2 linked regions of the Lytechinus pictus genome follow. The protein of the gene in region 1 interacts with the protein of each later gene in a biochemical or structural test. Links are inferred from orthologs where the notes say so. Each region holds a gene or a part of one and is shown in the gene's direction. Other genes may lie near its edges.

Region 1 (7,477 bases):
GATAATTGCTACATCTTAGGCAATCATTTGGCTTATTGAAGGTCACCTTAGGCAGGGTCAACTGTACTTACATTTGTGACTACTATGGAGTCTTGCTCTCTGTTCCATTAGTTTTCTCTCCATCATCTGTTGTATCTCAGAGAGATGTTGGACAATCTCAAAGACAGTTCCATCCAGCAGAGATAAAGCTAGGTTAGATATGGTTGTGTAGGGTAGCCGCTGCTGAAAATTCCTGTTTATAGAAACAATTAGTGCATACCTGAATTATGTATCCATGATCCATTCAAATAAAGTAAAATCTGCATTTAAGTTGATCTCTTGGGACTTTAATAACACATGTTTTGCATTTTCTATTGTCTGAGAAAATGCCTCAACTCAGGGAAGGCCCTGTAACAAAATATCAAATCAATTGTAAATATGAATCATCAATGTGTCTAGATGAAAATCCATCCTCAGAGTTACAACTCACTATAATTATTCTTTTTTCCGGTTAAGCATCTAGGAATCATAATTCATATACTAGAATTGCCATTAGTGATATTACATCTCATAGATTGATTGAAAAGCTCATTATTTCTGAAAATTCTGAAATATGCTTCCTTTTATTTCAATATTTTAATTTCACAAATTGAATTAGCATCTTTATTTCAGCACAATTTATTGGAACAAAGAGAAATCTGTTTGACTTGTAAGGCAAATTCAACTTGTAGATATGTAAAATACACCTTGCTTTGTAAATTATGATCTAAAAATTGCTTTAACTTCTAGAAGGTTGACCAAGACAGACTGTAGTACTGTACTCACATAGGAATCTGCCGAGCCATGTCCTGTAGCTGACTCAGCATGGTATAATGACGTTCTTGCTTCTGTCTTTTGATATCCACTTCTGATATCATGTAGGCCCCTTCTTGAAAACTCTCCTGCCCTTCATCCCTAGGGTCCATCTTTATGAATGGCCTTTGTCTCAAGTGTGTACACCAGCTGTTGGGATACTTGAATTAAAGGCAAACAAGCATACATATTCATCACTATAAAATGCATATCAGATGTAAAATACAAAAGTTATAAATGTAAAATGTTTCATTTTCAAGAAAGAGTGATAAGCACAACAAATGTTGCTGCCCTCTATGTCTGTTGATCAAAACAAACCCCAATTATCAAGTATAAATCCGAAGTACTCACAAGACTTATGCGACAGATGTTAGTTATCGAAAAATAGCTGTCATACATACAATGGTTTTATTCCATTAGCCTGGTACACTACACAATCAAACAGCTAGGGCAAGAACTATTGGCATGAGTATAATCTCGTATGACAGTCATTACAAATCACTGTCAGTCACATAGCTTTTTTTTATTAGCGTTGTGTCCCCATCGTGATCAATAGCTGGATGGAGCTCGTATGCTGCCGAACGTGCACGTACATGTACGACCTTGAGGCTACAGAATAGCACTCCATGACACAATTCACAAAATAACAGGCCATATCAATGCATTAAGTAACAACACACACATACGCAATAGAAAAAAATGTGGAACTTGGTGCATGCTTGACCTTAAAGTTCTTGTAAAATAAAAAAAGCAAAAAGTTTTCAACCAAAAATTTAGGGCATTTCGTCCACAAATTCTTTTTTAAAGGTCTTCACTTTCAAAATGGGGGGGGGCACACTTGTATTTTAACAGAGGTAGAGGTGTTGTGGCTCAGTGGATAAGTCTCTGGACTTTGAACCACAAGGTCCGAGGTTCAAACTCCACTGCAGCACTCGCATCCTTTGGCAAAGCGTTTATCTACATTTGCCACTCTCCACCCAGGTGTAGTTAATGGGTACCCGGTAGGAAGGAATTCCTTGAATGCTCAAGCGTCTGATCGGGATAGCCGTGCTAAAGCCAGGGTAATAGTATGCAACGCTTAGAAACATTTGTATTAAAGGGGAATCCAGCCTTGGCCATAAAATTTTGTGTTGGGAAGGAGAAAATAAATTAAACAGAATGGTGAAAGTTTGAAAGAAATCGGACAAGCAATAAGAAAGTTATAGCTGCTTTAAAATTGAGATCACTAATACTATGTAGATTTCAAATTGGCAACTGAGTAAGTAAATTATGACAAGGGGCAAGGACAACTTTCCCATAGGCCATGCACTTTATTATCAGGGATTTGTGGTTTTCTCCTAAGTACCCATTCCCCTGGGGCAGTAATCTAAATATAACCCAGGTAGTATATTGTTTTATGTCCTCATGAAATAAAAATTAAATTTGAAATAAAACTTTTGGGAAAAACAACATTTTAGCCATAATATGTATTGGAGTACATGGAAGAGTAGTCCTTGCCTTACATCACTATGACATCCCATATGAGGCCAATTTGAAGTCTCCATGGGTATAGTGATTACCAATATTTACAACATTTAAAAATTCATAACTTTCTTGTTGTTTGTCCAATATTGTTCAAACTGTCACATATCAACTAGTCTGATTTTTCTTTTCCTTATAAAAACAAGTTTTTATTTGGGTTGGATTATTTATCATTAACAGTATTTTTACATTACAAATTTTAATCGTGCCTCTCAAAATGGGGGGCACGGGCCGGCTGTGCCCATTCCTGGATCCGCCAGCGTATCAGGCCACACCAACGCCTAAACAATGCACACACACACAATGGAAAAAAGTGTGAAAATTTGTGTGCAATCGACCTCTTGGGGTAATTTTAATAGCCTCATAAGACTGATAAGACTGTGCTGTAGCTCTACCTAGCTGATATCAACGCTAGAACTTCTAGAAAAAAATTACGCCATTTAGTGAAAAAAGTATTATAATCTCCCTATAAATGTGTTATGAACGCCCAAGCCGTCAAAACCTTCTTGGCAGGTACATTGTGAAGGCAGATCAAGGACTCGCTTGCCGAAGGTCCCAGCTAGATAAGGATTCTCTCCTTCATTTCTGATCAATTTGTTGCATTTCAGTGAGCAAAATTAATTTCTCAAACTCCTCTCCCGACAGTGACAGGCATAACAAAGGAGCACAAGAGAAATAGACCGATCAAGTGATTAGAGGCCGGGATATGGACAGAGCAAGAGAAAGTGTGAGAATGTGACAAACACCACCCCCCCCAAAAATAGACTCCTTATAAAGTTATAGATCTAGACTACGTATGGCAGTGTATCCTATTGCCGGACACAGGTACCTTGAGAATTTCAGCCGTCGACGATCACCCACAATACACAACATTCGATCGAAGGAGCGGAAGAGATTGAAATTCTACAAATCAGGCCCATATTTCTGTCAGAAAATATATCGATTGTTATATAATATTTTAAGCATTTTCTCTCATTTTTAGCCTTGTTTTTGCAATCTTGTTCTTCTATGTATTGTTCTGTGAAATTGAACTGCAGAAGTCTTGCAGTACAAAATTGCTTTCGTACGCAGTAATAATGCACGTCAGGAATCATAATCATAATAGTGTCAGGTAATACGTGACTAGACTATATAGTCTAAATATATATTCAATTTCTTTTACAATAACCAAGAACATTCCTGTGCACGTCACGCGTCATCGGCATGCCCCATTTTTTCTTGGCCTCGGGCTCTTCCCTCAAAATTATTAAGTCAACCTCATCCAGTCCAATCAATCCAATAAAAAAATAGTCCTTTTTAATTTTAGTTTTTCATCAAATTATATGGTCAATTGGCTAGTCAAAGTCTAGATCTAACAAACGTTAGATCTAGTTGATTTGGGTAGCTGTCACAAAACAGGAACTCTTTCCCATATTTTTATGGTTACTTATTACTTAATTTTAGCAATCTCTAGTAAAAGTCTGACTCTGATTCTGAACAATCAATGTCGCGCGCTGGCTACTGACAGTGACACTCAGCACTAGCTAGCTCTGGCAACAGGCATCCTAGCGCGAATTGAATGAAAAGTCCCCCGAAACTCAAGGCGGCCTCATCTCAGACGTCGCCTCGCCCTCGGTCTTGCCAGCATGAGTCAGACATTTTATAATGATACTCGCTCTCTCATACTACTCAAAATCGTATAATCAAAATTATTAAATCGTTTGAATTTTCTTCTGTGTGTTTAAATAAAAATTTACCTCACAAATCTAACACTAACTTTAGGAATGCCTGAAAAAAGACACGTCTAGACTCTGGCTCTTCCTTTTTTCCTTTCTTGTTTGCGCATGTAATCTGAATGATATCGATCATGATTATCGATATGCAAATTAATTATGCACGAACCTTTAAATTTCAAAAATCGGTATGAAAACTTAGTTGGAATTCTATTTCCTTGCATCTAACTCAATAATATGTACTTTTAAAATATTATATAGCTATTTTAACGAATAATTCTACTAATATGTAACTGATTAGTTTGTTCTAAAATCACAAATCTTATGCAAATTGCCCTCATGAATATTGTTATGATGATCAGCCAATGAACAGCTTTCTTTTTCGGCTCTTTAAATAAGGCGCATCATTGGAACTTCATTTCAGAGTTCGATATCGGCACGAGCAGGTGAGCCTCTTTGTCTCCTTAAATTTGTTTCATATTTTTACTAAAAAGAAAAGAAAATTGATACGAATTAGTTTGTTTTGAGATTATAGAAACTACTGTAAATAATATGCTGCTTCATTTTTTTGTTTTTTGGATGTGAATTCAATGATTTGATGATGTTTTCTGGCATGTCTGGGAGACTTGATTGAACTTCGTAGGAATGATCTGCAGATCTGTGACTGTGGTCTGTGTGTCAGAAAGACTGTGTGAGTGTGAAATGCATGACTGCGCTGTCTGAAGTTTTGGAATGTTGGGCAGAGAAGTGAGAGAGTTCAAGTTCGTCTTTATTTATCCATAGGCCTATTGGAAATCTGTTTTGTTCACAAATTCAATTCAAGTTTACAAACATAAAAAAATGCCTTAATATAGGGGCCTAGGCCCTATATAAATTAATTAGGCCTAGGCCTATTAATAAAACCATATTATTTCATGAATAATACTAGAATTTTCAACAGTGAAAGTAACTTGAAAAAGACCGAACATGAAATTTGAATTTAAATTCTGGATCAAACCATTTTAGAAGGTCTATCTTGTATGCCCAGTGGTTGTGTGTCCGGACGGGTTGGGTGTCCGGACACATGACTTTTACTCTCAATTTTGAAAAGTTTACAAGCAATGTCTTTAATTCTTTTTAGCACAGAATATAAGAAAATATTATAAAGAACAAATATTGATGGTGAAAAAAAACTATTCAACCTATATTTTTGGTTTATTCCTGAGATAAAAACAAGGCTTCATTTCTGTTACGTGTCCGGACACCCAACCCCCCATCCTACTTAGGATGGGGGGGTCGGGTGTCTGGACACTTTATATTTTTGAAGCCTTTTTGGATTAGGGGTCTACACAAAAAATATGAAATCAATCAACTTCACTCAGTTTTGCTCTGACTCTGTAACTAATATTGCTTAATGCCTTAAAAAGGGCAAGTCCACCCCAACAAAAAGCATATGCTGCTTCAACTGTCTACTTTCAACTGTTAACATGTATAATTTGTTTTTAGCTGAAATTTCTTGTCTTCCTATGTATTTTCCTTAAGCGCTTAGAGACATTCTTTGTGATAAGCGCTATATAAATGATGTTAATTATTATTATTATTAAGAAGAATCTAACAGAGAATAACACTAAAAAATTCATCAAATCAGATGTAAAAAGAAAGTTATGACATTTTTAAAATTCAAATTTTGCTTGATTTCACACCAGTTATCCTGGTCGGTATGCAAATGAGGGGACAGATGACGTTACCCACTTACTATTTCTTTTGTATTCTTTTACGTGACATTTGACATGGTCTGATTTTCTCCATATTATCCTTTGAAACAAAGTTTTATTCCTCCCTGAACATGTTGCATTAACCCCTTTATTAAAGGACAAGTCCACCCCAACAAAAAGTTAATTTGAATAAAAAGAGAAAAATCCAACTAACATAACACTGAAAATTTCATCAAAATCGGGTGTAAAATAAGAAAGTTATGACATTTTAAAGTTTCGCTTAATTTCACAAAACAGTTACTCAGTATATGCACATCCTGGTCAGTATGCAAATGAGGAGACTGATGATGTCATCCACTCACTATTTCTTTTGTATTTTATTATATGAAATATGAAATATTCTAATTTTCTCCTCATTGTCAAGTGAAACAACGATTAATTCCTCCTGAACATGTGGAATTAGGATTGTTTAATACTATTTGGTTCAGTCAATTAAGTTGGTCCTCATTGTCAAATCTGTAAAAAATGAAATATTGTATAATTCAAACAATAAAAAACAAAAGAAATAGTGAGTGAGTGACGTCATTGACTCTCATTTGCATGTCACTGAGTTGTGCATATCACTGTTTTGTGAAAAAATAAGCGAAACTTTAAAATGCCATAACTTTCTTATTTTACATCCAATTTTGATGAAATTTTCAGTTCTGCTAGATTGATTTTTCTCTATTTATTCAAATTAACATTTTTCTGGGGTGGACTGGACCTTTAACATTGTTTAACATGTGGTTCAGTCAAGTTTTACATTGTCAATTCTGTAAAAAGTAGAATATAATAATTGTGTAATTGAAACAAAAAACAAGAGAAATAGTGAGTGATGGACATCATCAACTCATTTGCATATCACTGAGTTGTGCACTGTTTTGAGAAAAATAAGCAAAACTTTAAAATATCATATCTTAATATTTTACATCCGATTTTGATGATATTTTCAGCGTTTATTCTTGCTCGATTTTTCTCTATTGATTCAAAAATAAAATTAACATTTATCTGGGGTGGACTTGACCTACAACAGCTTATGCTAAAAATTGATAGAACTTTTCCAAATGGCTGTTTAAAATCGATTGTCTGGACACACGAACTGTCGGGACACACAACTGGGTAGATACCCAAAGTACACATTGCCCTTTTTCTCGACATTCGATTATCTGCGGCACTCAAATTATTTTTGACAGGGATGTGCATGCCTCACATTAAAGGGTACTCTGGGTTGAAAATATTCATAAAATAAATAGAGTAAAAATTCACAGAGCAAAATGCTGAAAATTTCATCAAAATCTGATAACAAAGTTATATTGCATTTTAAATTTTTATTTAGCAAACAGTTGTATGTCATGAATATTCATTAAGTGGGCTGATGTCACATCCCCTGATCCCCACTTTTTTCTTTGTTATTACATGAAATCATGTGTGAATGAGTATGTCTCTCAAAAAATAATGAAATAAGTTGCAGCTAAATGAATATCTAATGCAGATCAGTTGTCAATCCAAATTTTTTTAGTTCTTGGATAAACAAAATTGAATAAACCTAATTTCATATAATAAATGAAATATGACATCAGATTGCTCATTGAATATTCATGAAGAAATGCATAGAACTGTTTCAACCGGAATAATGCAAAATGAATCTTGTTAAAGGGGTACTCCAGGGAGGCGTTTCAT
Region 2 (7,187 bases), on another chromosome or scaffold:
GAAATTCAAAGCTTGATCGATGGGCTTCAACATTCTATTTGAAGAAATAAAATTCAGAGAGGATGAGAGAGCGTGAGAGAGATAGGGGGGGGGGGAATATCTGGGATTAAATTGCTGATAATACAATGAAACTGTTATTTAAACTAAAAAGTTATTTTTATAATTTAGCTCTAAAAAAAAATAGATATAATTGTTATTTGTTTAGACCTGTTTTTATTACTTTTTCTACTTGCCTTTATCAAAGATTTTCCACTGTTGCTTTTACTCTGCTTGACTCATTTTTTTTATTTTATTTTCTATTTTTTTTTTTTTTTTTGGGGGGGGGGGGGTGTAAATAGTTACCTAGAGGTATGCAAATTTTGGCGTATCCTCTGTTATGAATTTGCACCAGCTCCACCACTCCACCTGGGCAGCTTCCTCGTTGGAGTAAAATAATAAATATATGTCTTCGTGGAGACAAAAACTGCTGCAGTTGATATGATAAACAAAACAATATGCCTTTAATGTCATAAAGACATTGATATCTTTGCAATACGCCACAGCAGGCATTGTTGCACGTGTTGCACTGCACCGTATCGTATTTGATTTGATGAATGAAATGAAAATAAGAACGGGTTTCATGACATGAACCAAAGGGCACAGAGTAACTTGAACTTGTAAATGGGGAAATTCCACTCAAACATAAAAGATTATTCTAAGCATAAAACTGAAATAATTGATATGTTTGATACAGTGCTATATTGTTATGGATGTTTATGATTTAGAGGTAAAATTAATGTTTATGATATAGAGGTAAATTATGTTTGTTTCTACTGATACTTTTACCGATGTGTTCAAGTCACCCCCATTAATAAATTAACTTTCTAACTTTAATCGACAATGAAAACAAGTTTCATGAAAACAAGTTTCAGCTTGTCCTGCCTTTTTCACCATGGATCTTCACAGATACGCTCCTCTAAACCTCGTATTAAAAAAAAAATGCATTTATGGGACAATATTTACCACTTCTGAATTTTTTCTAAGTCTGGTAACAACATTTGCTCGTTGTAATAATATTCCATACCTAAAAGAAATATTTATGGACGTACATATTTTCGTGTTCTTCGGTAATTTCGAAAAAATAATCATAGAAATAGATTGGTACAGACAATGGCCGGGGTGCATCACAGGCACATGTGAGGTGTTTTTAGTTTAGGTGAGTACTATTATTACGTTTAAATATATATATATATTTTTTTTTTTTTTTTTTTTTAATAAGGCCTATGTTTTTAATTACAGGAAATCACACACAATATTTACATAATTAGACATGATCGTAAACAAACAAACAAAAATAAAACAACATTTAAAAACGTAAATTATAATATATCTTAAAATTGGCAACGGCATGTCATGACTGTGCATTTATGCCTGGGAAGCTAGCTAGCTGCGGCCGGTCTAGTACCGTATACGCAGTGCATCAGTACCGGGTGCGCTGGGCATGGCAAGACCGTGACTACGTTCGGAGTTCTGACGGAGAAGAAAAGATGGAAATAACTTCCACCAAAAACATGATCTAGAAGTCGAATATGTCAAATGATCATCATTTATAGGTATGAAATATGAATCAACGTTTATTTTTAAAGAAAATCGTAAATTTCTATTTATGGGGAGAGTTTTACTTTTTAGAATGCATTTTTCGTAAATAACGTCTCGTGCACAAGCTACCACAGACTACGAGCCGGGCTGCAGCGGCAAATTTAAAATTGAATATTAATTTAAGGAGGTCGTTCGAAACTAGCTATTCATCGACCATTTTACGTGACAACTAGCTTCGGGGAAGTTAGGGGGCTGAATCGGTTATCTCTGTCCCTTTCTGGTCTCACAAAGGCCATAGTTTGACACTTAATATCTTCACTTTTTGGAAACCTTTGGAACTGGGAGTTGGTATGTTTGCTTTGATTTTGTTTTCTCTTTCATGTCATTGTAAATAAAAATGTGAAGACGTTCAAATAAAAATTTTAGGATTTCAATTTGTCCACCCTAGTATTGGTTTTAACGTGCATAGGTTGTGACTCTCCTATACACGGGACCAACATTTGCGTCCTTTCCGATGGACGGAGTGTTTTCCAACTGCATTCACACCCGCACTGAACACAGCGGTGAGGCACGTTAACACACAACGCTAGCATCAGTTTTTTTGTTAGACGTCTTCCGGCATGCTGCGGGACTCGAACCCACGCACGTTGAGATCTACGATCTTTTCCGGAACAGGCGCTCTAACCGACTAAGCTACACTACACTGAGGTCAGAAGCCCATTTGTTTTGTGTGTGATTTACAACAAAAATCCTTATCAAAACAAGAGTAGACGGTGAAAAGGGGTAATTTTTCATGAGGAATCTGCTTATCACATTTTAATTTGTCGCCAAGGTAATCCTTTTGCAGCAAATGTAAACAAAGGAAATTGGTCTCCAAAACTGGAGACTGTCTCTGAAATTGGATACCCAAATTCTTTACAAAAGTCTCTGATATCAGTAGAGGCGCACGGCCAATATGGGAGACTCTCTCCAATAGGGGAGACAATCTCCCACATTGGAGACTTGCTTTGCAAAAGGACAAAAGAAACAACACCAACAAAAGTATGATTTTTTCCATCCAAAATTTTGTCTCACTGAGGTCAGAAGCCCATTTGTTTTGTGTGTGATTGACAACAAAATTCCTTATCAAAATAAAAGTAGACGGTGAATTTTTAAAGCAGACGGTGAAAAGGGGTAATTTTTCATGAGGAATCTGCTTATCACATTTTTATTTGCCGCCAAGGTAATCCTTTTGCAGCAAATGTAAACAAAGGAAATTGGACTCCAAAACTGGAGACTGTCTCTGAAATTGGATACCCAAATTCTTTACAAAAGTCTCTGATATTGGAGATAATCTCCCACATTGGAGACAGTCTCCAATATTGGCCATGCGCCTCTACTGGATATTGGAGATAATCTCCCACATTGGAGACAGTCTCCAATATTGGCCGTGCGCCTCTACTGACGATTAGTTAAGAAGTACCGATGGTGATATTTTGACGCGAGATATGGTGATTTAGGTAAGAAAATTTCACTTTTTATTTGAGATTTTGCCCAAGTAGCAGGATGATTTTGTAGTGTGAGAGTTAGTGAATGTGTAGTGTAAATGTCTAGAGTGTGTTGGTGATTTCAGTGGTGTATTGCTGAGCCTGCCGAACGGCCGCACACCGACGCAGTCCGTAACAGTTGGGAAAAACATTAGATGGCGGCGTAAACATCGGGCGAGTCTCGTCCATCTTTTCATAATATTTTGCTCATTTTTTTGATGAATTCTTGTTTAAAAATGAAATCGATAGCGTAGAAATGTTGGAAATTAAGTTGTATCCCATAGTTTTTTTTGACAATTTGGTCTTTTTTTGGAAAAAAATTTCTCAATCATTCTCGAACAGATTCACTGGTCCTTACATCATCATGTACGGTAGGTCAAATAAAAAAAGGACAAAAGTAAGCTTATCTATCAACACCCCTCATTTTCTTTAACTTAATTTGAAAATCAACCTGTCCATTCATTCACATACATTACACACACGCAGCGGCACACATCGCATGGACACATTGGTTTCTACATGTACGTGCATGTACGTCATGCACGTCGGATCGACATGTATTTTCAATACGGTTAGCAATGGCAGTTTGGCACGACTGCGCGTGTGTGATCATTCATACTCACCTTCGGTTTTGGACGTTCGTATGGTTTACGCGAGTAGTGAGATCGTTTCGGGCGAAATTTACCACCAGACGGGGTTGCCATGGCTAGTTGAATATGAACTGACCGCCACAGCAACCTTCACAAGGGTTAGAATAAGTTGATAATCTTCGAAATTAAGAAATAGCTCGTAGTGTTTCCATTGAATTTCACAGTAGATGAGTCAAGATGGCGGCCTTTTTCAAAGAAGTTGATTGGTTAAATGTCACGTGATTTTCTGCACTTTTCCCCTTTTATATTACATGTCTTTTGTCACTCGGTAAACGTCGATTTTTAGGAGTCAAATCGAATCGAAATTAAGCTGGATGCATCGATTAGTTTAAAATTATTATTGAATTACTTTTAAATAATTTTTTAATTTTTCAAAAAGTTAATTTAAAACTCATTTATAAACAAATTATTTTAGAGGGTACTTTTTTATTTCGCCATTTTGAAATGTTAGCGCGCGCGCGTGCAGTGCAGTGCTCGTGCATGTTACGTAGGTCTACGTATAGGCGAGACGTTGGTGAATGAATGAACGTATCGGATCTGCAGCGTACTACTACGGTACCCCATCGCTGCCCGGCGCACTGGCTGTATACCGCCGCTGAAGCTGACCGACCTCCTGGCCTGTAGCTGCCGCTGCAAGACAGATTAACGTTCAAGCTCTTGTTGAATCTAGATTAGCTCTTCCTCTTCCTGACGAGAGATCCAGTTCTTGAGTGAGTTGAACTGAGGAGTCTCTAGAATAGTATTAGGCCAGCAGCTACCAGTCGGACTCGGAGCCGCTAGCTGAGCTGAGTGTTTTTCTGACTTCTGTGAGTGTGAGTGTGACTGGAGTGTCAGTGACAGTGTCATGTCAGTCACTGAGGCTGAGCAGTAGAGGCGCACGGCCAATATGGGAAACTGTCTCCTATGACTGGCATGAGAAGAGATTATCTCAAATATCAGAGACTTTTGTAAAGAATTTGGGTATCCAATTTCAGAGACAATCTCCAGTTTGGGAGACCAATTTCCTTTGTGTACATTTGCCTCAAAAACTAAACTTAAACTTTAAGTTAAACTTAAACTAAAAGTCTAAAGTAAAGTTTACCTTGGCGGCAAATAAAAATGTGTTAGTGTTACTGATAAATATTAAGCAGATTCCTCATGAAAAATTACCCCCTTTTCACTGTCTACTTTAAAAAATCACTGTCTACTTTTGTTTTGATAAGGATTTTTGTTGTCATCCACACACAAAACAAATGGGCTTCTGACCTCAGTGAGACAAAATTTTGGGTGGAAAAAATTACACTTTTGTTGGTGTTGACTGTTGTCAGTGTTGATTCTTTTGTTTTGCAAAGCAAGACTCTGGCTATGCTATTTTTTCTGCGTATCCACTGGATCTCGCAGTTCTCCAGGACTGGAGGAAATCAACAGAAGAAGAAGAAAAGAAGCTATGGGCATGATGGGAGATTATCTAGAGTCGTAGATAGTCTCCCATATATCATAACCTTGTTCATTGAATGAGTGCCCATATTGGCTGTGTGCCTCTACTGCTGAGGTTCATACTCATAGTCATAGTACATACTCGTCATACATTATTTACATAACATAACGTTAGACATACACATAGGCTGAGGCTGTGGCAAGATTTTTTTAATGATCACCGGCTGCAATTGCAAGAATGACAGAAGTGCAAAAACACTTGGTATTGAAAACTCAAAGTAGAACCAAAAAAATTAATGATTTAGGGTCTATTTTTTATAGCCTAGGCTTAGCCTTAGCTTAAAGGGGAATCCAGCCTTGGCTATAAAATGTTGTGTTGAGAAGGAGAAAAATAAATTAAACAGAATGGTGAAAGTTTGAAAGAAATCGGACAAGCGATAAGAAAGTTATAGCTGCTTTAAAATTGAGATCACTAATACTATGTAGATTTCAAATTGGCAACTGAGTAAGTAAATTATGACAAGGGGCAAGGACAACTTTCCCATTGGCCAGGTACTTTATTATCAGGGATTTGTGGTTTTCTCCTAAGTCCCTATTCCCCTGGGGCAGTAATCTAAATATAACCCAAGTAGTATATCGTTTTATGTCCTCATGAAAGAAAAATATAATTTGAAATAAAACTTTTGGGGAAAATGACATTTTAGCCATAATATGTATTGGAGTACATGGAAGAGTAGTCCTTGCCTTACATCACTATGACTTCCCATATGCGGCCAATTTGAAGTCTCCATGGGTATAGTGATTACCAATATTTATGACTTTTAAAAATTCATAACTTTCTTGTTGTTTGTCCAATATTGTTCAAACTTTCACCTTTCAACTTGTCTGATTTTTCTTTTCCTTATAAATACAAGTTTTTATTTGGGTTGGATTCCCCTTTAAGTTCTTTTGAATGTATGTCACCGACAGTCACTGTTGACTTGTTGTGTTATTTAACAATTATTTTCCTGTTTATTACTTGAATCAAACATTCATCTATTGTATCATTCATTTTCATCTTGTAGTTGTACTTTGTATTTACTGTAGGATGGGGGTCGGGTGTCCGGACACTTATATTTTTGAAGCCTTCTTTTTTGTCTTGGGATTACACTAAAAACATGAATTCAATTGTTGTAATCATCTTCTATTTTGTTCTCTACAATATTTCCGTACATTTTGTAAAAAAAATTGATGAAACTTCGCTTGTACATTTTTCCAAATGACTTTCTAAAATTGATCGTCCGGACACACAACCTGTCCGGACACACAACCACTCACTGGCTCACTGCTACCATCCTGCCTGTGGGGAATCTACAGGTAGGACTATGGTAGGACTGACCGCGATTTATCGCTAATCTCCGAAGAGCGGAGGATCAAAACAGAGAGAGAGAGAGAGGGTATGCCAATGCTGTATAGAGCACACACTTTAAAAAATCATTAAAATATCACTTTTGTGACCAAAATTATATTAATTTATATACAGTTGCAATTCAATTTTCATTAGTAACTTAGAATAATTTTTGTGTTGACCAGGGGCCCGTTTCTCAACACATGGACAAGTTAGTCATATCTTTATCCACCAACCACGGAGTTAGTTCCAATCTTACTAAACCTGTTTCTCGAAAGGCTTCCTAACTAGAATACCTTGATATCGATACTATCGGTAAAAAGAGCAGATGAGACGTAGCCTTAGTCACAAAATAGCATAATTTTCAAAAAGAAAAATTGTGACAAAAATTGCAAATATTATGATGAATTGGGAAATAAATCTTTTGAAAATAATAGCACAGGTGAATTATGCATCATACATACTTAGACCATGAAGACTGGATCATTCAATTGCTGAGAAAATCAAATTATGAATAATTCATTTCATGACTTAAAAATCACTTGTGGACGTTGAGATGGGTACCCCCGGGAGACCCAATTTTAATAGTTTACGAAAGTAAACCATAACGGTTTTCTCTGTAAAATGATG

The links. The genes of interacting proteins can lie anywhere in the genome.
Region 2: the proteins of importin subunit alpha-1-like (region 1) and exportin-2-like form a complex in vitro, tested with the Homo sapiens proteins (2 studies listed by BioGRID). The link is inferred for Lytechinus pictus from reciprocal best matches to the Homo sapiens genes KPNA2 and CSE1L.

Annotation. Positions count from the first base shown.
Region 1 is NC_087248.1:5,553,258-5,560,734, reverse strand, and holds the start of importin subunit alpha-1-like, read left to right. Parts: upstream 1-4,409; 5' UTR 4,410-4,510; intron 4,511-7,477. Other genes in the region: protein DGCR6-like, read right to left, coding at 72-232, 805-944.
Region 2 is NC_087261.1:28,251,575-28,258,761, forward strand, and holds the start of exportin-2-like, read left to right. Parts: upstream 1-4,187; 5' UTR 4,188-4,464; exon of another isoform or gene 4,465-4,572; intron 4,573-7,187. Other genes in the region: nuclear pore complex protein Nup153-like, read right to left, coding at 3,728-3,808. UniProt on the Homo sapiens protein: Export receptor for importin-alpha. Mediates importin-alpha re-export from the nucleus to the cytoplasm after import substrates (cargos) have been released into the nucleoplasm.